2 linked regions of the Ovis aries genome follow. The protein of the gene in region 2 interacts with the protein of the main gene of each other region in a biochemical or structural test. Links are inferred from orthologs where the notes say so. Each region holds a gene or a part of one and is shown on either strand. Other genes may lie near its edges.

Evidence for each region.
Region 1: the proteins of TOM1 (region 2) and TOLLIP form a complex in vitro, tested with the Homo sapiens proteins (3 studies listed by BioGRID and IntAct, with this or other methods). The link is inferred for Ovis aries from reciprocal best matches to the Homo sapiens genes TOM1 and TOLLIP.

Annotation. Positions count from the first base shown.
Region 1 is NC_056074.1:46,570,125-46,579,352, reverse strand, and holds the end of TOLLIP (toll-interacting protein), read right to left. Parts: intron 7,690-9,228; coding exon 7,540-7,689; intron 5,838-7,539; coding exon 5,655-5,837; intron 5,036-5,654; coding exon 4,883-5,035; intron 4,342-4,882; coding exon 4,251-4,341; intron 2,446-4,250; coding exon 2,234-2,445; 3' UTR 552-2,233; downstream 1-551. UniProt on the Homo sapiens protein: Component of the signaling pathway of IL-1 and Toll-like receptors. Inhibits cell activation by microbial products. Recruits IRAK1 to the IL-1 receptor complex. Inhibits IRAK1 phosphorylation and kinase activity.
Region 2 is NC_056056.1:179,157,768-179,168,337, forward strand, and holds the start of TOM1 (target of Myb1 membrane trafficking protein), read left to right. Parts: upstream 1-4,429; 5' UTR 4,430-4,456; coding exon 4,457-4,508; intron 4,509-10,570.

The sequences.
Region 1 (9,228 bases), on a different chromosome or scaffold from region 2:
ACAGACCAGAGCTCACGCGTGAACTGTTTTTAATCACAGACCGGAGCGCACGTGTGTGAACTGTTTTTATCACAGACCGGAGCTCCCGCGTGTGAAGTGTCTTCACTCTCCAGAGACTGGAGCTCACGTGTGTGAATTATCAGAGACCAGAGTTCACGCGTGTGAATTATTTTCACTCATCGCAGACCGGAGCTCACGTGTGTGAATTGTTTTTATCGCAGACTGGAGCTCACGCGTGTGAAGTGTCTACACTCTCCAGAGACTGGAGCGCCTGTGTGTGAACTGTCTTCGCGCTCCGCAGGCCGGAGCTCACCTTGGAACCGAGGGTGCTAACATCCTCTGTAGGCTTGCTCCCTGCAGGCTTCGTGCCTGCACGCCAGGCTCCGTGCACACACTGAGCTCCATGCTCACACTCTAGGCTCCCGGGCAGAGTCCAGCCTCTGCCCTGTGCCTTCACTCACTAGTCTGCTGGTGACCGTTTCATCAACTGGCTTATTACAAGCCAGATTAAAGTGGAATAAAAACAGTAAATTCTCTTTGAAGAACTGGACTTTGTTTTTACATAGATCATTTATTAAGTTAGAAGGCTGAAAGGTACAAACATATCTTACAATCAAAGAGGAATCTGGACCCTGGACCCCAACAGAATGATCTGAAACGCAAAGCTCCAAGGACCATTTCTGCAAACACCCAGCAGGGCTCCTGAAACGGGAGTGGGGTGGGGAGCCTGCTGTACACGCCTCTCCTCTCCGACACCAAGCAACAACCACCTGTGAGGCACCCCAGTCCTGGGCCCGGCAGCCACAGGCGCCGTGCTTAGTGCCCCCCGAGGGGCGGCCTGGACACGAGCACGGACGTGAGCAGAGCAGCAGGGACAGCAGGGCCACCGGACATCTCGAGGCCCTACTGATGCGCCCTCCTCTGACCCAGTGCAGCAGCAGGCGTCCGCGACAAAGGACCCCGAGCTGGCAGGTCTCAGCCACCCTGAAGCCAAGTCTCCTGTCCTCGGAGGCCCAGGCAGGGGGAGGCGGCGGCGGGGAGGCAGCGTGGGGCCGCCCGGGCTGGGGTCAGCCATCAGAGTTGCGCTGTGTGGTCACCGTGCTGCAGCCAGCGTGCGGCTGTTTAGCCGCTGGTCTCACGCATCTACCGAGCGCCTGCGGCAAAGGCACCGGTGGTCTGAACCCCCCTCGCAAGCCTCCCTGCCACCGGGCCGCCACGGGAGGGGTCTGGTTGGCTTGACCGCTGGCCAGCTTCACGCTAAGCCTACGTCAGGGACAGGACTGGGGTCTGTCTGAGTCCTCACCGCCTCGGGGTGGGGTCTGTCTCCATGTCCAGAGGCCGGGCAAGGCCTCCAGGCAGAGCGGCAACCGTGGCTGGCCGCACCGTGTTCTCATTTCCATGGGGCTCCACCCAGCTGGCCCCATCCTCAGTGTCCACGGCCAGAGGCGGCAGGGTGCCGCCCACACCGCAGGTTGCCTCTTGCCTCTCGGGAAGACCTCCCAGTGCCGGCGGTCACCACGCTGACCCAGCCTGCGGCCCAGCTTCCTACACAAGGTCGGCGGTGAGCTGAGAGTTCAGAGGCCTCTGACAGACGGGGACGAGGGCTGGGTCTGCTCCCGACACCCACCTCAGCGAGCTCTACAGTCAGCGCGCGTCTGGGGGCGGCGACCCCTCGGGACAACACGGCATGGAGGGCGAGGCAGCAGGAAAGACTACGGGGCCGCGGGCTCAGGACGTGGCTGCAGACGCCAGGCTGGGCCCCGAGGCAAGGTCCACCCGACCCCAGCGAGGCGCCCAGGGAGACCGCCACGGGGAGGAGCGGAGCTTCTTGTCCTGAAGCCCTAACACGACCCACAGCAGCTGTTAGTGTGTCTACCCAGGCAGGCGGCATCATGAGAGACCACCTGTCAACCCAGAAGGGGCCCAGCACCGAGGCCCTGCGGGGGAGCTGCTCCCAGGAGAGGCTCCCGGGAGGACGGCCAGCAGGAAGTGGGCGTGTGCACGGGACGCGCCGCCTCCACCCTTCAGGAAGCGAGAGGAGAGCCACCCCCCCCCGCCCCGACCACGTGGAGAACGGCTCCAAGAACCAAAACCACATGCATCCCAACGAGGGCGAGGACGGCAACACGGACGTCCAAGGAAGGGGCTACGCGGGGCATGTTCACGGGGATCTGCTGGGGACAGTGCTCGGGAGAGCTGGGCGGGCGGGCAGGCGGCGAGACGGCGGGCATGTCTAGGACTCCTCGCCCATCTGGAGCAGGGAGTTGATGGCTGCGTCCCTGCTGCCCCGCTGGGCCTCCAGCACGGAGCGGATCACCTCCCGGTCCATGTTGGGGAACATGTCCTGGATGGCCTTCAGGTCCTCCTCACGGCAGCGGGGCTGGGCGCTCACGGCTGGGGGCAGCGCCACAGGCACCACGCCGGGGCTGCACACGGCGGGCATCCCTGCAAGCAGAGGCAAGCTCAGTGGGCAGCCCCTCTGCTGCGGAGCCCAGGTCTCACCTGAGGTCTCCCCCACAACACGACCCCAGAGATCTCCCCCCACCTCCAACATGACCCCAGAGGTCTCCCCTCACCCCAACATGACCCCAGAGATCTCCCCCTCACCCCATGACCCCAGAGGTCTCCCCCCACCCCCGACATGACCCCAGAGGTCTCCCCCTCACCCCAACACTGCCCCAGAGATCTCCCCCTACCCCCGACATGACCCCAGAGGTCTCCCCCCACCCCCGACATGACCCAGAGGTCTCCCCCTCACCCCAACATCACCCCAGAGATCTCGGCCCCGGACACTGCCTCTCAGATAGGCCAGACGCTCAGGAAAAATGGGGGTGAGCAGACCTCAGCCATTTACACCACGGGGGTCAAGCCCTCGCACCACGGCCACCCCCAGCTGCCACCCCCCCAACCCCGAGCACCGAGACTCCCCCGCCGGCCCCTCTGCCGGCCCTCCAGGACAGGCCTTCCCAGCTGGGCACCCAGTCCCAGTCAGACCCCGTCGAGGAAGGAGACCCCACCGGGCCCAGCGTCCTGAGGACGGCAGACCCCCCCCTGCTCCACACGGGCAGCACGTGGGGCTCCGGTGTCAGCTCGCCACACCAGCCGCACCCCTTCACTCCCATGTGGACGCTGAGAAGCTCAAGGCATCTCAGCTGCTGGAAGACTCAGACCTGGAGCCACCAGAACCCAAGTCAAAGCTCCGACTGTCTTGTGAGGAAAACAGACCAGCAAAAGGAAAGACAGAGCTGCTGAGGTCCCGCGGCTTCAGAGACAGCCCTGGCCAGACAGCGCTCTGAAGGGCGGAAGCGGCTGCAAAACTACCTGTCTTTAGAAACTCAAAAGCACAGTCCCCCAACCAGGCCCAACAGCTCACATGGTCTCCTTTCCTGTCTGAGCTCAGAAGACCTTAAAGGCAGCTCAAAACCTTCCAAACCAAAACCAGCAGAAGAGCCGACAAGCGCTGAGGTACAGGGGTGCCGGCCGCAGGGGTGGGACCAAGCCTGCGATGGACACGGCTGCCTGCGGGGCCGGACGCGCACCCGAGGCAGCCGCAGGGCCCAGCCCCTCCCTCCCGCTGCCCCCCGGCCCCTCCCTCCCGCTCCAGCCCTCACTCTTCCCCGCACTCTGCTCAAGAGCTCAGAGGTTTCTCAGGGACACGGCCACCACCGTGCGCACAGCACCCTCGCATCCTCTCCCGTCTCCCAGGCTCTGAGCCTCCCACGCTTGCGTCCCACCCCGTCCTACAGACGTTCACAGGCAGGGGGACTGAGTCACTTCCAGTCAGAGCCTGGGTGGGAACTGACCACAGGCTGACGTGAAGGCACAGAAATCCACGAGAAAAGCCACACCCTACTCGACTCCGCTGCGCGTGAACCGCCGGCTCACAAAGGTGAACACTGCGAGAGGTCGAGAGCCGCGCACGGGGAATGGACGCGACAGACGCAGGCAGGCTCGGGCGTGCAGTCCGTCCATCCACCCGAAAGGACATGACCTTGTGCTACAGCGACTCAGAAACCATGCTTCCCCATCTCCATACACTTAACTCAACTTTTCTGCACTGACAGAAAAAAAAACAATCCTACCCCCTAAGCGTGCAGGAGAAGCCAACACAGGACAGCGGACCCCCGGTTTGGGCAGGCTCTCCAGGCACCGCCTGCAGACCAGGCCCAGCCTCTAGCTTGACACCCCACGCACCTCCCTCCTGCTCTGAGGCCACCCCAGGAGACGCGCCGCGAGGAGGGGAGACGCACCTGTGATGGGCACATAGCCCACACCCTGCTGGTACACGGTGGGCATCAGGACCACGGGTTGAGGCGGCATCATCATGGCAGCCGGCAGCGACTGAAACACACCAAAGATGACCCCAGGGTCACAGCAGAACACCCCCCCCGCCGCCTCACCAAAAGCTGGGGTGGGGGGCAGCACCAGGCCTGGGGCCCCACAGTCGAGGCTAGGACGCGCCCTGTCCCCAACCTCAGACGCCCGTTCACACCGCCTCCCCACAGGCCCCTCTGCGGGCAGAGGACGACGCGGGTGGAAGGCGCCTGTCGTCAGAGCCGCAGGACACGACTGAGAGCCCATCGGGAGAGGACGCTGCTCCAGGCTGCGAGCCGGAGCGCACGCTTCAGGCTCGAACCCCTGCCGTCCCAGACAGCCTCTCTCTGGCTGCAGTTAGTTAGACACAGCAGCAGCGTCCCATCCACATGGAAGCGTCTGCTGAACAGGTAGGATGCACCCAGCAGAAACGTGCTGATGTGGGAACCCGCAGTGACTGATCCAGTGCCAGGAAGGGGTGAGCAGGTACCAGCGCGGCGGCCCCGAGGCTGGGGGTCCGCCGGCCCGCCCCCGCGCGGGGAGCACCGGGCAGGCGCGGCGGCCTCACCGTGTACGACAGCACCAGGTTGATCATCCCCTCCTTGTCGTCGCCCTGCCGCCCGCTCAGGCTGTACCACTCGTCCACGACCTTGCCCTGCTTCAGCGCCTCGGGGATCGTCACGTGCGTCCAGGCGATGCGGTCATCCATGGAGAAGGCCCGCTGGGGGAGACGGGAGACGGCATGTGAGCCCAGAGCCCCCAGGGCCCTCCCCCCGCAGGGTGTGCACAGCATGGAGCCCCCGCCTCGCTCCCCTCCTGCGGGCCCACACGGAGGGAGGGGCTCCAATGAGCCACCAGCGCCGCCTGCACCAACCCGCGGGGCCGGGCCCCCGGACACGCGCTCCCCTGAACCACGCCTTCCCCTCCCGCTCCACCCCAACCCCTGAGGACCGCAGCCTCTCCCAGCCCTGCCGCCCACCCCACTCTGAGCCAGCCTCAGAAGGGCTGGGGCACGTGGAGGGCCAGGCTGAGAAGGGCCTGGGGCTCCCGACACCCCGGGGACACTCAGGAGGCTCCTGCCATTCCCCCACAAAGAGGCCAGTGCCCACCCTGCCAGGGCCTGACCGTGTCAGCCCTGAGCCACGTGCGGACAGCAGTGCCTGGCCTGACTGGTCGGGCGACGCCCACGCTCCGGACATGGCGGTGACGTGTCTGAGTGTAGGTTCCAGAGACTCTGGGGGCACAGAGCGCCTGTCACACCACAGCACCCCCCCTGCACACACGCCCGACGTTCTGGAGCAGCCGGGAGCCTGAGCCGCAGCGGCCCGCGTGGTGCCCACCTCGTCGAAGATCTCCAGGTAGAAGGTGTCCACGCCCGGGGGCACGGTGCACTGGATGACCTTGTTCCAGCGCGGGTTCTTGGCGCCGTTGTGGGCCGTGGGCGTCTCGTACACGGCGTAGCCCAGGCGCAGGCGGCAATAGGGGTCCATGCGGGTCATGCCGTAGTTCTTCGCCAGCTTGGCCTGAAACAAAGCCGCCGCGTGAGACGGGGCCGCAGCCGTGAGCCTGGGAGCCTCCCCGCCACCCACGGCTTCCAGGGCGCTCTGGGTGCTGACCCACTGGACACGGCCACCACTGTGCTGTCGGCCCTCCACAACCACAGGTCCAAAGTGAAAGAGAAAGGCGCTGGACCAGGAAAGAACATTCCAGAAACTTCCAAAAGCAAAACCTGAATCTGCCACACCAGCAACTGGGTTTACAGCCTTGTACCGTATAACAACCGAGCTCACGCGGCGTGTTCGGCATGCTAGGTGTCATGAGTAACCCAGGGATGGCTCTGAGCACATGGGATCTGTGCAGGCCACGTGCAGACCTGCACTGTTTCAGGTAGCGGCCTTGAGCGTCCTCAGACTGTGCTGTCTGTGGGGTCCCAGAGCCCGTTCCGAGGACAACTGTGCTTCGGGGCCCAGGAACCAGGAGGTGGTCTGGGCTGGGCCCAGCGTCTCAGGACACACCCACTGCTGGGCGGGGCTGGGTCCCCCCGACTCCTGGGGAGGAGGGTGGAGAGGGCAGGCCGTCCTGGGACAGAGTCTGAGCCCCGGAGAAGCAGGGGTCAGGGGCCCCCTGAGAAGCGAGGCCTGGCCAAGGCCTTCTCTGCATCCTCAGACAGTGACCGTGCCGGCCCCCTGACCGGGCAGGACTCTCTCAGCAGTGACTGACCCTGCCCAGTGCCCGGGGGGCCAGGAATCCGCTCCGAGGGGCCTGATCCCCTGGAGCCCACGCCTCACGGTGACCAGGGCTAGCGCCCTGGTTCCTGCTGAGCAACGGACAGACTCCAGGAAGCACCTGGGGCCTGAGGGCAGGCCCGTGACAGCCAGAGGGAAGGGAACTTTCCGTGGTGCTGGAGAAACGCTCTTATCACAGGGGTGGACACACGTGTCGAGAGGTCACAGAAACAAAAGCACGTTAATTCAAACCAGTGCGTCCTGACACGTATGTCACACTCAACAGGCCGATTCTTTTTAAAAGCCCCTAGAGCCTGCTGCCTGTGAGACGCCATCTCTTCCCGACAAAGGCTCTGTGGAAGCCCCGCCCATTGGGAGCCTCCTTGCACCCCTCTCGGGCTGACACCCCCTGAGCTCTGGCACGCCTGCCCGCGATCATGCCCCAGAGCCGCCCCTCCACGTAGGACCAGCTGGCCCACCTCCAGACACACACCTCCTGTCACCGCAGGACCTCCCCCTGAAGTCATCTCTGAGCCTCAGGCACATCCTCTCAAGCACCCTCGACTGAACGCGTCCGACACTGAAGTGTGGCTCTCCTCCCCACCTGCTCCTGCAGTCTCCCCTTTCTGGCCACTGCCCACCGCCCCTGGTGCCGGCGACAGGCCGCGGGGTCACACACCCTCCTCCCGCCCCAACTTGAGGGCTCTCGAACTGGGCTGGATGCCCCCAGGAGGCCAAATTCGGGGCCTTCCAGCCTTGCCCACGATCTTCCTGACACAGAGCCCGAGGGAGCCCTGGACCCAGCTCGGGATGAGCTGTCCGCTTCCCACTTACTTGCCCCACGCTGCTCGCTGCCCCTCATCCCCCGCCCTTGCCCCCAGCCCATGGGTGGGGACTCCAGTTCAACCCACGCTCTCCACAGTAGCCTCCGGCCGCCCACTGCTGCCCCCGACCCTCGGCGCCCGCGCTCGGCCCCACGGGCTCTGAGAGCCACACCCACCTGCACCACGGTGACGCTGAGGCGGCCCACGGTGCCCAGCGCCCCTCCGTACTGCAGCTGCTGCGCGGCCTGTGCGTCCAACTGGATCTGCTGCTGCTGCTGCGTGGGCGTGATGCGCAGGAAGTCCTGGGGCAGCTCCCCGATGTACACCTGCGGGACCACGGCATCAGCGCGGGGCCGCCCGCCCTGGCCCGGCCCCCTGCTGCACCACGCGGGTCTGGGGCTCCAGCCTGCAGGCCCCCTAGGGCCTGTGCTCCCGGGGGCAGGGCGCCCAGCACATGGGGCTCCGTGGAGGCCCGAGCACGTCCCTGCCTGAAAGCACATCTCGCATCCTCGCCGGGGCTGCAAGCTGCTCTCAGGCCTCAGATGCGCTTGTCGCGTGTTGGCGGTCCCAGCCACAGACCAGGACCATGGTGAGCACGGCCTCTCCACCACAAGCTGTTCACTGGGTGAAGCCTGAGGCCCAGATGCCCAGAGACTCGGAGCAGCCTCTGTGCAGACGCCTCGGGAGAACAGCTCGCCTGCAGAAGCGCCCTGAAGACCAAGAAGCCTGCAGAGTGACCAGCAAAGGCCACGGGACCCGGCCCTGGAGAGGGAAGGCGGCGGAAGGGCGCCTGGGCACACACCCGCGCGCGGAGGATGTGCGGTCTGACGGCGACAACTCCAAGGAGACCACAGGAGACCAAGTTCGGGCCAGCTGGGCTCCGCCAGGGCGGTGAGCACAGAGAGATGCCCCCCAGGGCAGGCGGCCCACCCCCCGGGTGCTCAGGAACCTGGACCCCCCCGCCTCTGCTCTCTGCCGGGTGGGGGGGGGTGCAGGGCCAGGGGGGCACAGTGCAGCCAGGGCCCAGGACCCACGACAGAGGCCTGGCTGCAGGGGGGAACCAGGGCCACAGCCCCGCTCAGTGCCCAGAGCGCAGGGGCCCCAGACCCCTGTGCAGGGACCCGAAGAACGTGGCAGCTTCAGGGGACACGGGAGAGAAGGCCCTGCATGTCGTGGTGAGCCCTGGCAATTGCGTTTATGGACAGTGGCTGCCAGGGACCACCAGACGCTGCCAGACGCCAAGGCTCCCGCGAGGCTGACCAGACGGCATGGGGTGGGCGTCCAGACGGCACCCACCTGCCTGGGAGCGCGCCTGCCGGCTCTAGGGTGCCCTCACTCCTGCGTGCTGGCGCTCACCCCAGAACCAGCACCCGTACAACGAAGAGAGGCCCCGAGAGTCTGACGCCAACGGCGGGACAGACGGGAACTGTGGAGGCAGAGAGGCCCTTCTGACGGGCACTCTCGCCACTGTCCCCGGTGGCCTGCCCCCTGGGGACACCGGGCTCCACTCCGCATCCCCCAGCTCCGCTGCCTCAAGGCCCAGCGCAGGGCGGGGCCCAGGCGCCCTGGAGCCTGCGTTGCCAGGAAAAGCTCAGCACCTTCCTTCGCTCCCCAAGGCGCTGTGGGGTGCATCTCCTGGGCGATGGCGCAGCAGAGCAGGCCCCAGCCCGGGCCCCGGGAGGCAGGCAGCTTGTGACACCCTGCGGCCGCACCCTCGGTAAGGGCTGAGGCACCCGGGACACACCAGTTCCCAGTTCCACGGCGCCAAGACCAGACCCCCTGTGCCCACAACACACCCGCCGAGAGCCCTCGGGCCACTTGCTGCCCATAGCCCCGCCGTGGCCTGCCCGGCGCTTCACCCCTGA
Region 2 (10,570 bases):
CTTCCATCCTTCCTTCCCATCCATGTGGCCACGGGGCTGTGTTCCTTAAAGGTATTCTGGCTGCCAAATGCCTTTCTCACCTCAGAGTAGCTTTGAGATTGAACTGGGGAAACAGAAGAGAACAGGAACGTCTGGGAACCAAAATTACGAAGAGCAGAAATCCTGGTTTGGTTTTGTGTGTCAGTGCTTGCCACACACCTCCTCTCTACCCACGCCAGTTTCCTGTTGGACACAGGGCATCAAGGAAGGGGCCTCAGAGACATGGATTAGTACAGAGAGAAGTCAGTCCCACCATTGTCATCTGTATACATTAACAAAGTCTTGACGAGAGCCTGCTTTTTGTTTGTTTTCCTTTAAAGTCCAACCCTATTGTATTTGTATTTAAAATTTGTACACATTTGTATAATAATCTGTTCCTTGTGGTATTTGGTACTATTAGAGGAAAAACTTTGGATTCAGACCTTCTTGCAGTTTTTATATCATTGTTTTATTTTGTTTTTTAAATAAATTCTAGCAGTTTGATCCAAATCCCATTACAGTTGTATAAAGAAATAAAATTTTGTACTTATATTATTAAAAATCACATTTTTAATATTTGTAGTCCAGTGTCAGCTATCTTTTTCCTGTGGCTAACCAAAGTTCCTATGAAATTTTAAACCTGTCTTTCACATTTGAAAAAAAAAAAAAAGCCCATCTGGAATAGAGGTCAAGTTTCTGATCAAAGCTAACAAACATCTTGCTCTGTTTCTATTAACTTTTACATTGAGGACTTTCATCTTCTCTTTTGCTAACTGCAAACCCAGTGGCTCTGTAAGTGTAGCTATCTTCACTGACAAATGAAATTGTACGCACATTACATTATTGGCCTAAGTCAAATATCTGTCAATCTTGTATAAGAGTCGCATTCAAATTGTGTGCTAAATCATGTGTTTCAGCACTGTTCTGATTTGCTGAGTTACAGTGGATTGGATAAATAACTTAATTTTTATAGGTATCTACAGTCCTGTCTATAAGTGTTAATGTCACTTCCCTGTCTCCAAGCCTTGCAGCCAGCCAGCCTGACATGTACGTTTAGTAATACTGTGAACATCTAATATATGAGTTTAGACCTTTCAAGGTAAAATTTTCAATGCAAACACAAGGTGTTAATAGTCATAAATAGCAAATAGTCATAAATAGCAAAATATTGGCTGTAAGCCTCACTTCTTACAGAGAGGCAGCAAGAAAGAGATCACCATATTGCTGAATGAAGAGAGTGCTTTGCATATTTTATTGCACTTAATCCTCCCCCAAAGCTTTATCAATATTATCCCCTTTTACAAAAGAGGAGACAGGTACAGGAAAGCACTTTCCCTGAGTTTAAACAGCTAAGTAAATGGCAAAGCCAGAATAAGCACACTGGAACAGCAAACCCCAAAGCCGAGGCTCTCTTCTACCCCAGTTCAGTTCAGTTCAGTCACTCAGTCGTGTCCGACTCTTTGCGACCCCATGAATCGCAGCACGCCAGGCCTCCCTGTCCATCACCATCTCCCGGAGTTCACTCAGACTCACGTCCATGGAGTCAGTGATGCCATCCAGCCATCTCATCCTCGGTCGTCCCCTTCTCCTCCTGCCCCCAATCCCTCCCAGCATCAGAGTCTTTTCCAGTGAGTCAACTCTTCGCATGAGGTGGCCAAAGTACTGGAGCTTCAGCTTCAGCATCATTCCCTTCAAAGAAATCCCAGGGCTGATCTCCTTCAGAATGGACGGGTTGGATCTCCTTGCAGTCCAAGGGACTCTCAAGAGTCTTCTCCAACACCACAGTTCAAAAGCATCAATTCTTCTACCCCAAGCCACCTTCAAATTTAAACTGTGTATGTAATTCATCGGAATCCTTCTCCATTATCTGCAGTCCTGAGCAAATGTGATTGCAGGAAAACTGTCAGAACTTTTCACTGTCCAAATGTTCTTTTGTCCTAGCTGGACTTTGCTATAGGGATCTCACTTTTCTTGTCATACTATGGTCTTTAAATTTTGGAAGCAGAGTATCTTAAATTCTTTGTTTAAATGTACTTAAAGGTTATAATCTTAATCATTTTGTTTAGATGTACTTAAAGGTTATAATCAATTATATTACATTTATGCATTGTCAATCTTAAGGGACTTCAACATTTTTATCCATAGTAAGGCATTTAATATTGATATTGCTAAAACGCTTAAAAGGAAAAATTAAAGACTATTTACTAAATGAGTTTGTTCCCTGTTAGGAAATAGTTTGAAGACATAGTTTTGTACTGCACTTAATGTTTGCCATTTACGTTACTATTTATTGTATTGACAAAATCTACACACTTCCATTTCTGATTTAATAGCTGTACAACTTTCTGTCTGCATGGAGTTAATATAATTTCACTCCCTGTTTGGGGGTATGTGGGTTGTTTCTGCTTTCTTACCATGAAGGATAAAACTTATGGCTGTTCTATTCTCTGTAGTAAAGCCAAGATCTGCCTATAATCACCTCAAACCAGAGTGATGCAAGAGGGCAAGAACTTCCAGTCATCCAACATAGGGATGGATATTAAAGGTTAATGGAAGAATCCAAAGGAAAATCATGCTAAATACATGCCATACTAACAAGCAATATGCTTAAATGAAAAAAAACATGGAAGGTACCTACCTGACATGAAAATGGTCATAAGTGCACATCCCCCCTTTATAGGCTAAATGCCACTGCTAATTTAAATTTTCAAGCATTAGTCATCATGCTGGACAACAGTGAGAGAAACAGACATAGCATCCCAGACTCAAGGAGCATCTAGACTACTGGGGGACTGGGCATATATTAACATGTCTCATGAGCATTATTAAAACACTTCAAAGCACAGGAGTACATGATTTCAATAAAGCTTTTATATCGTACAATAAAGATGTCAACTAAGAAATCCCAGGGCTGATCTCCTTGCAGTCCAAGGGACTCTCAAGAGTCTTCTCCACCACAGTTCAAAAGCATCAATTCTTCTACCCTATTGACTGCTCAGTTAACATACAGAAGTGATAAAGTTGTAATTCAGGTTTTCTATCATCCTAAATTTGTGAAATGTACTAGCCTTTCGAATTAAAAATTCACAAATACGTTCGATAGATACTAAAGCACCTTGCAGTAGCTCAGACTACCAAAGCAGTGGTTATTTTATCTTTTGGAGTGCATGCCATTAGAAGGAAAAAACTATAACCAATAGGTAAGATATCTAATGAGTAAGTGACACAGCTGAAACATGGCGCACGGGAGCATGGAAGAAGACATTTGAATTACAAAGCTGAAGAAAGCCTTTGAGATTCTTAGCTTGGAGTCCACTGGTGTACCTCAGGGACCCCAGAACCACCCTGAGGTACAATTCTATCTTGCCTTTTTTCTTCAGAAATGCTCCAGTGCTTTGTACAATTTCTCAAAGGATCCTGTGACCTAAGAAAATAAAGGTTAGAAGTCCTTGATCTAATTCCAGAATTCAGAGAAAATGGAAGCCTGCTGTTTGAATCACACCGTAAATGAATGGCAGAGATGTGTCCTAGGACCCACTCATAACATTTGTATGCTTTCTGCCACCTTGAGCTCTAGCCCATCACTAGCTGCAATTCATTGAGTTGTCTCTCAGTGTCAAGGTCTCGAAAAGCCTTTGCCCTTGCCTCCTATTTGAGGTAAGGGAATCTGGGCTGCAAACATGAAGCATTTTGCAGCCAGAAGACCTCAGCCTCAAACAGGAAGCGTCCTCTCTGGGTAGGGAGACAACAAGCCAGAGAGTCTATCAACCCCAGCAGCGGATGTGTAGTCATACTGAGGTCCCGGGGGACCGGACTGAGAGCTAGAGCTTTGGCCTCGGCTTGCTGGGTACCGTTACATATGTATGTTATATGTTAGTCGCTCAGTCGTGCCCGACTCTTTTCGACCCCCATGGACAGCAGTCCACAAGGTCCCTCTGTCCATGAGATTTTCCAGACAAGGATACTGGAGTGGGTTGCCATTTCCTTCTCCAGGGGATCTTCCCAACCCAAGGATCGAACCCAGGTCTCCTGCACTGCAGGCAAATTCTTTACTGACTGAGCTACAAGGGAAGCCCACGCAAATCATTTCCCGGGTCTAAGATTGGGTTTTCCAGGTGTTAAGAGCTCAAAGGCCACGCCCCTAAATCCTTCAGGACGCGTGGAGGGCGTGGCTTAGCGAAACCCACGCCCCCTCGTCGCCCTACGTACTGCGTGACGTCCGCCGACGCCTAGTTAACCGCAGTGAGGTCATCGCCCTCCGCCTCAGGGAGCCGACACTCCACGTCCGAGGCGGGGCCTGCGTCTAGGCTCCAGACTGCCTCTGCCCCGCCCCAGCCGCGCCTCCTCGAGGACGGTCCAGCGCATCACGTGACGGGTCCGCGGCGCTGGCGGTTGCTGTCAGCTGATCCCCGGCTTGGAGGCAGCGGCAGCAGTGGCGATGGACTTTCTCCTGGGGAACCCGTTCAGCTCTCCGGTGGGACAGCGCATCGGTGAGTCTCCGGGGCCCCGCGCAGGCCCAGCGCAGCACTCCGCATTCGACCCCGGCCCCCCAGGGTACCTCCAGGTCCCGAGTCACACACCAGAGGGAGGCAGGGAGGGGAGTGAGGCTGGCGTGTCTCTCTCAGACCCGGCCCCGCCCTGCCTCCCGCCTGCTTTGATTGACAAAAGCCACTGTCCACTAGGAAGCTTCGGATTGTGATGGATGCCCACGGAAGCCAATAAATAAAGAGGGGAGGCGGGCCCGGGCGGCCGCGGCTCAGCCAATGTGCAGCTGCTGGGGTCGCGAATCCAGGCAGAAAGTTTTAGGGGTTAAAGGGACTGCGTGGTTTTTGCAGTGTTTGGGTCCCTCGATGGTTTCTGTCATCGCCTCCCCCGCACGGGTTGCGCCACCTGGGCTCTTGCCATTTCCTTCCTGGCTCGTCTGGAGTTGCGAACACGGATACCTGAGAAGGGCTGGAAGTCCATTCTCAAGGACCAGGAGGCTGGGGCTTTGCGGCCTGGCGGGCAGGCGGCTGGGAGCCCTTCCTCCACCAAGCCGGGGCTAGACGCTAGGGAGCCCACCCCACGAGAAGGCCAGGCCAAATCCTCAGGAACTGCCGGCCATAGCCGCCTCACCAGCCGGCACCGAATGGACCGCGTGGAGTCGCAGACTTGGAGCTGGAAAGGATCTTCGAAACCACCTGATTTCAGCCTCCCTCATTTCTCAGCAGATGGGAGGCCCAAGCCCTCTGGGCGAGACACAGGCTCACTCAAGAGCCCAGGCTCCTGACTCTCTTGGCACCTGTTGAGCGGAGGCTTAGTAATGGTGCGGCGTTGGCTGTCTGTAGAGAGGATCCCTCCCCAGTGATTAGGGGATAATAATGATCCCTGCCTCCTTGGGGTTGTTTAGGTTAAACTCGTTCATAAGTGTGAAGGATTTAGTGCCTTCCACGTGGCAGATGCTCTGTAAAAGAAGGTGGTAATATTTATTGTTACTGAGACACCACCAAGTGCGGGTTCCAAAATCCTGAGAATGGCTAGACAGTTGGTCTCACAGACACTCATTCCTGCCCACCAACTCAGAGAGGACCCACAGGCCATGGCCGGGACACTTCTCCAGAACAGTCTGGTTGTGCTTCCTCGCCTGAATAAATCGAGGGAAGTACTGTGAAAGCCTCTCTCCATCTTTTTGATGATTTTTAGCCTTAAGTCCAGACTGGGAAAACTGGATCTTTTAGACAATACATTCTTTTCATTCTTGGTGCCTTAGAAGTCAAACCTCACTTAAGTCTGTTAACCCAGCTCTGTGTTGAAATCGCTGCCTGTGGCTGTTTGTGGCTCTTTTGAGGTTTTGTAATCAAATGTATTCAAGAGGATGCTGTCAGTAGAGTATTTACACACCAGGAAGTTCCTGGATCTGAGAGGGGCAGCTGCTCTCTCAGGACCCTCACCCACCTGCTACACAAACAGACACACACACTGATGAGTCATTGTTTGGGACTGAAAAGAGAAGGCAGTTCATCTCTTGTCTGTATTTCTCCAACTGCAGAAACCTCTGCTTTTATCACATGTCAAATTTGAGACTTCCTACACACCCACCCCCCAAAAAAGAAAAAAATTCTGGTTCACAGGCAGCCAAATATGCCTGAGTCTTTCTAGAAAAGCTCTTTGGGACTCCAGGCTTGAGGTAGTCAAACAAAAGAGCTTCTCTTCTTACCCTGAAGGGTTACCTGTCTTGGGCAAGAAATATTCAGTCCAAAGAGCATGCTACTAAACTCTTAGTCCCTTAGAGCACAGACCGTGTTTTACTGCAGGAACAGTCCTTATCCTAGGGCTCTTCTAATCCAGGGCTATCATCAGAATCCCCTGGAAGACTTGTTAAAGCATCAAAGGCCGGGCCCCACCCCCAGAGTTTGTGACTGTAGACCTGAGGTGGCCACCAGATTGAAAACCTCCATTGTAGCCCATCCCCTTCATTCTACACTGGAGACTGAGGCCAAGAGAGGGAAGGTGGAAAATAGGACTCACCCAAGACCCCAGTGATGTGGTCAGAAAGCTGAGAAGAACCCCTCTGAGTCCGTGAAATCTGAACCAAAGCTGAAGAGGCTCTAAAAGTACTATTAAATGAATAATGTCTGCTATTTGAGTTAATACCCTCAGTATTCCTTTTCTTCACCCCCGGGGTGTGGGGGAGCAACAGCCCTGATCAGCTGTAATTACTAATGACCTAGTATGAGCTGCTTTCATTTCTATAAACTGCAGGATTGAAATAATCTCTTCTCAAGCCTGCCGACTTCATCCCCCGGTTGAGCATAGAGCCCTGTCCAGTTGGCAGCACTGAGCACAGTAGGTCGTGATGGTCTAAATCAGAGCTCAGTGTCTCTCGACTCAGAAAGTTTCCAGTCACCCATTCACACCCCTTTCTGCTTGCTGCTCCCTCTGCCTGGAATGCCTGCTGCCAGTGCCTCCTTAAAGTTCCAGGCATCATCACCTACTCCAGGAGGCCTTCGCTGACCCCTTCAAATCCAGCCGTTGTTTTTGTGCCCTCCCATCACCCTAGCTCCTCAGGCTCACTCCCTGTCTGCCTTTGGGCTCTGCTTCCTGGGTGCAATGGTGGTTATGGCAGCATCCATTTCTCAGAGTGGTTGTGAGAGTGAAGTGAGATGCTCTCTGGAGAGGGCCTGGCACATTATTAGTTTGCAGAATACATCGTCATCATTTTTATTATTTTCACTGACGTCACACTAATAAAGCACCGTGGCATTCTGTTAGTAGTTGTGCGTGTGTTTCCCCTGCTGGACTAGGCTTTGTGAGAGCAGATGCTGAATCTTACTAATCCAGACCCTAGGTACTTAGCATAATGCTGACACATGACTGGAGGGAAGAAAGGAAAGTAACAGTTTGTGAGCAAACACCAGGTCCATACTTGTATCACAGTCCTATTGTCAAGCCCAAGTTTGTGTGCTGATGTGAGGTGAGGCCAAACAAACCAAAGCGGGAGTGTGGAGCAGAGAAAAGTGTATTACAAGGGCCAAGGAAGGAGATTGGGCTGTGCATGCTCAAAGACCCAAAACCCCATTGGTTTTCAGGGAGGAGCTTCTAAAGGCAAAATTAGGAGGAGGGTGGAACTCCAGGGTTTGTAAATATCTTCTGATTGGTTGGTGGGAGGTAACAAGGTGGGGCTCCAGGAATCTTAGGCATCAGCCTTCTGGTTCCATCCAGTCTGTGGTCTCCGTGCTTGTGCAGACCTGAAGTCACCATCATCCACCTGGGTGGGGCCCCAGCTCCTATAGTAGAACTCAGAGATGTGTATCAGATTGTCAAGTAAATCCCTCGAGAAGGAACTAGGACTCTTTTTTTATTGTTGCGCTATTGTTTCTTGATTGCTTTTCCTTTGTTTCTGGGTTCCCTCCCTCCCCTAATCATTAACTGAATCTGCCTTTTGGAACTCAGGGAAGATTTAGGAGACAGATGACTTTTCCGCAAAAACAAGAAACAGGGGACACTGAAAAGCTTTCGTACCCAGAAGGGCCCCGCAGGATACCAGTGGGGATACGCCTTTTCTTTAATACTCTTCAGTCTTGTGGGGAACAGGTGTGGGACAAGAAAGGGAATAAAGTTTTGAATAAAGAAATTAATATGAAGTTGACAGAGGAACTCAGTTTTAAGGGGAGTCTGTTTCAAGCATGCAAGGTTCTGCTGTTTTTTCCAATCACCAAAAGTAAGTCTGAAGGAAGGTGTCACTTCCAAGGTTTCCCAGCTTCCTAGAGTCGGGACCCAGACCCAGGTCTCTGCCTGCAGAACTGAGGTCCTCTCGCACCCTCACCATCCTGCCTCTGGCTGGTCAACACCTGTTTGGAATTTGGAGCAACCCAGCCCTCCAGCAGCCACAGTTACTGTTTGACCCACAGACCAGCTTTTCCGCTTGTGGCGCTTGCTGGGCCCTGAATGTTTCCAGGTCACTCGTGCTCAGTCAGTCAGTCGTGTCCAACTCTTTGTGACCTCGTGGACTATAGCCCACCAGATTCCTCTGTCCATGAGATTTCCCAGGCAAGAATACTGGAGTGGGGTGCCATTTCCTCCTCCAGATCACTAAAGAATCCACTGTCAACTAAAGAATATGCACAACCTAAAAGCTGAGGCTTTTAGGAGCCCTCACTGAGAACTACAGCCTTGGAGGCAGTCTCTCAGATAGCTCTGAGGGACTGTTCCAAAGAGGTCAGGGAGAAGCCAGGAGATACAGGAGTTTTTGCTGGGGGAAGGCAGATGGAGGGGGCGTGGGGGGACACACAGTCAGACATCAAAAGATGACTGCTAATCACAAAAAGCAGATACCTCAAATTAATGTTTTAGTGCTTTTCTCTGTGTGGGAAGCTGCAAGAGTCTGGGCTGTTTGAAGTCATTCCTTTGGTTTGCATCTTCACTATCTAGGCCCAGTATACTCTTTTTCTCCATCCTGAACTCTGCTCAAGGTGCACTTCAGTGAAGGGAGGGTGCACTGTAACCAAAGGCTTGATGGCCACAAGTGCTTTTGTTTACTGAAATGGTGGGTGATGCTTTATCTATCAGGAAAGCTTCCAGTGGACAGCAGCCTATGGCTGAAAGGACCCTAGATAGTGAGTACTAGCTGGTGTTGACACAGCCCTCTTCTTCCAAGGATTTTAAAACCCATCTCAGGTATTCTCTGATGACAGCCCTGGCTGGCCGTGTTTTAAAAACCCAGTTTTCCACCTCCAGCTGTCAGCTCACCCAGCACTTTGACTGGAGGCGCAGCTGACCCAGGAGAGCCAGCTGCAAACAGCAGAGACTCTAGACACAGGCAGTGCCTGGGGACCACCCCCTAGTCGTGGGGCAGGAGGAAAGCTCAGAGCCTAAGCCTGAACCCTGGGGTGGATGGGAGAGGTGAAAGGTCAGGGAGAGCCACTCTTAGCCCCATAAAGGCCAAGCCAAGGGGCTGCCAGAAGGCATCATAGATGGGAGACCATAGGCATTAGCAGGAAGAGAGCCCCACAGGCCCTCAGGGCTGCCCTTTGGGGAGCAATAAGTGGAAACCAAACTGGACATTCAGGTGTGTTGTCAAGGGGACGCCAGGCTAGGTGGCAGAAGACCTGGGTCCGGCTCATGTTCGCTCCTGACTGTCTCGTTCCTTCTCACCACTTTCTGTTAGGGACCATCACTCTCCCTCATTCACAGAGGACTGAACAACTGAGGGGACGGTGAGGACAGCGTAGGTTGATTCTAGAGAGAAGAAAGAAATGGATGGGTACTGGGGGAGGAGTGATGGAACCGATTCCATCACTCCAAGGAGCCCAGTGCCAGCACGGTTCACAGCAGGACTGGGTGAGCTCCCCACCACTGGAGGTATGGAGGGGAGGGAGGCTGTAAGCAGGATGTTGCGTGGCTGGCAGGGTAGACTGGACCAGGATTTGCAAACTTTTTCTATAAAGGGCCAGAGAGTAAATATTTTCAATTTTGTGGGCCGTATGGCTTCTGCTGCAATCCGTTGGCCTCTGCCCTCAGAGCACAGAAGCAGACAGACAATGTCAGTGAAGGGACATGGCTGTGTTCCAATCAAACTTCATTTATGGATACTGAAATGGGAATTTCATGTAATTTTCCTGTTATGAAATGATCTTTGGAATTTTTTTTTCAACCATTTGAAACTGTAGAGAGTATTCTTAGCTTGTGGGCCATGCAAATGCAGACTCCTTTTGGCACATGAGTTTATAGTTTGCTGACCTCTTGACCAGAGGCAGAATGATTGAGGGCATTGTGCTTCAAAATGGGGTCCCAAAGCATCCCTGTTAGAGATGCTTGAGAATGCTCCAATTCTGGACCCCCTGAGTCAGAATCTCTACCACTTCCTACTCTTAGCTATGGGGAGCCCTTGCAACTTGGAGCTCCGATTCCTTGATCTGTAAGTGCTGGCACCAGGTTAGAATCCAAAATTTGTGTCTTAAGGATAACAGGGACTAATATCTAGAAAGGACTTTGAGTCAGATGGCCGCATAGAGTGTGTTCCTGAATCAGACCAGGTGGTCCAAATCCTGGTTTATCCATCATCTGCTTTGTT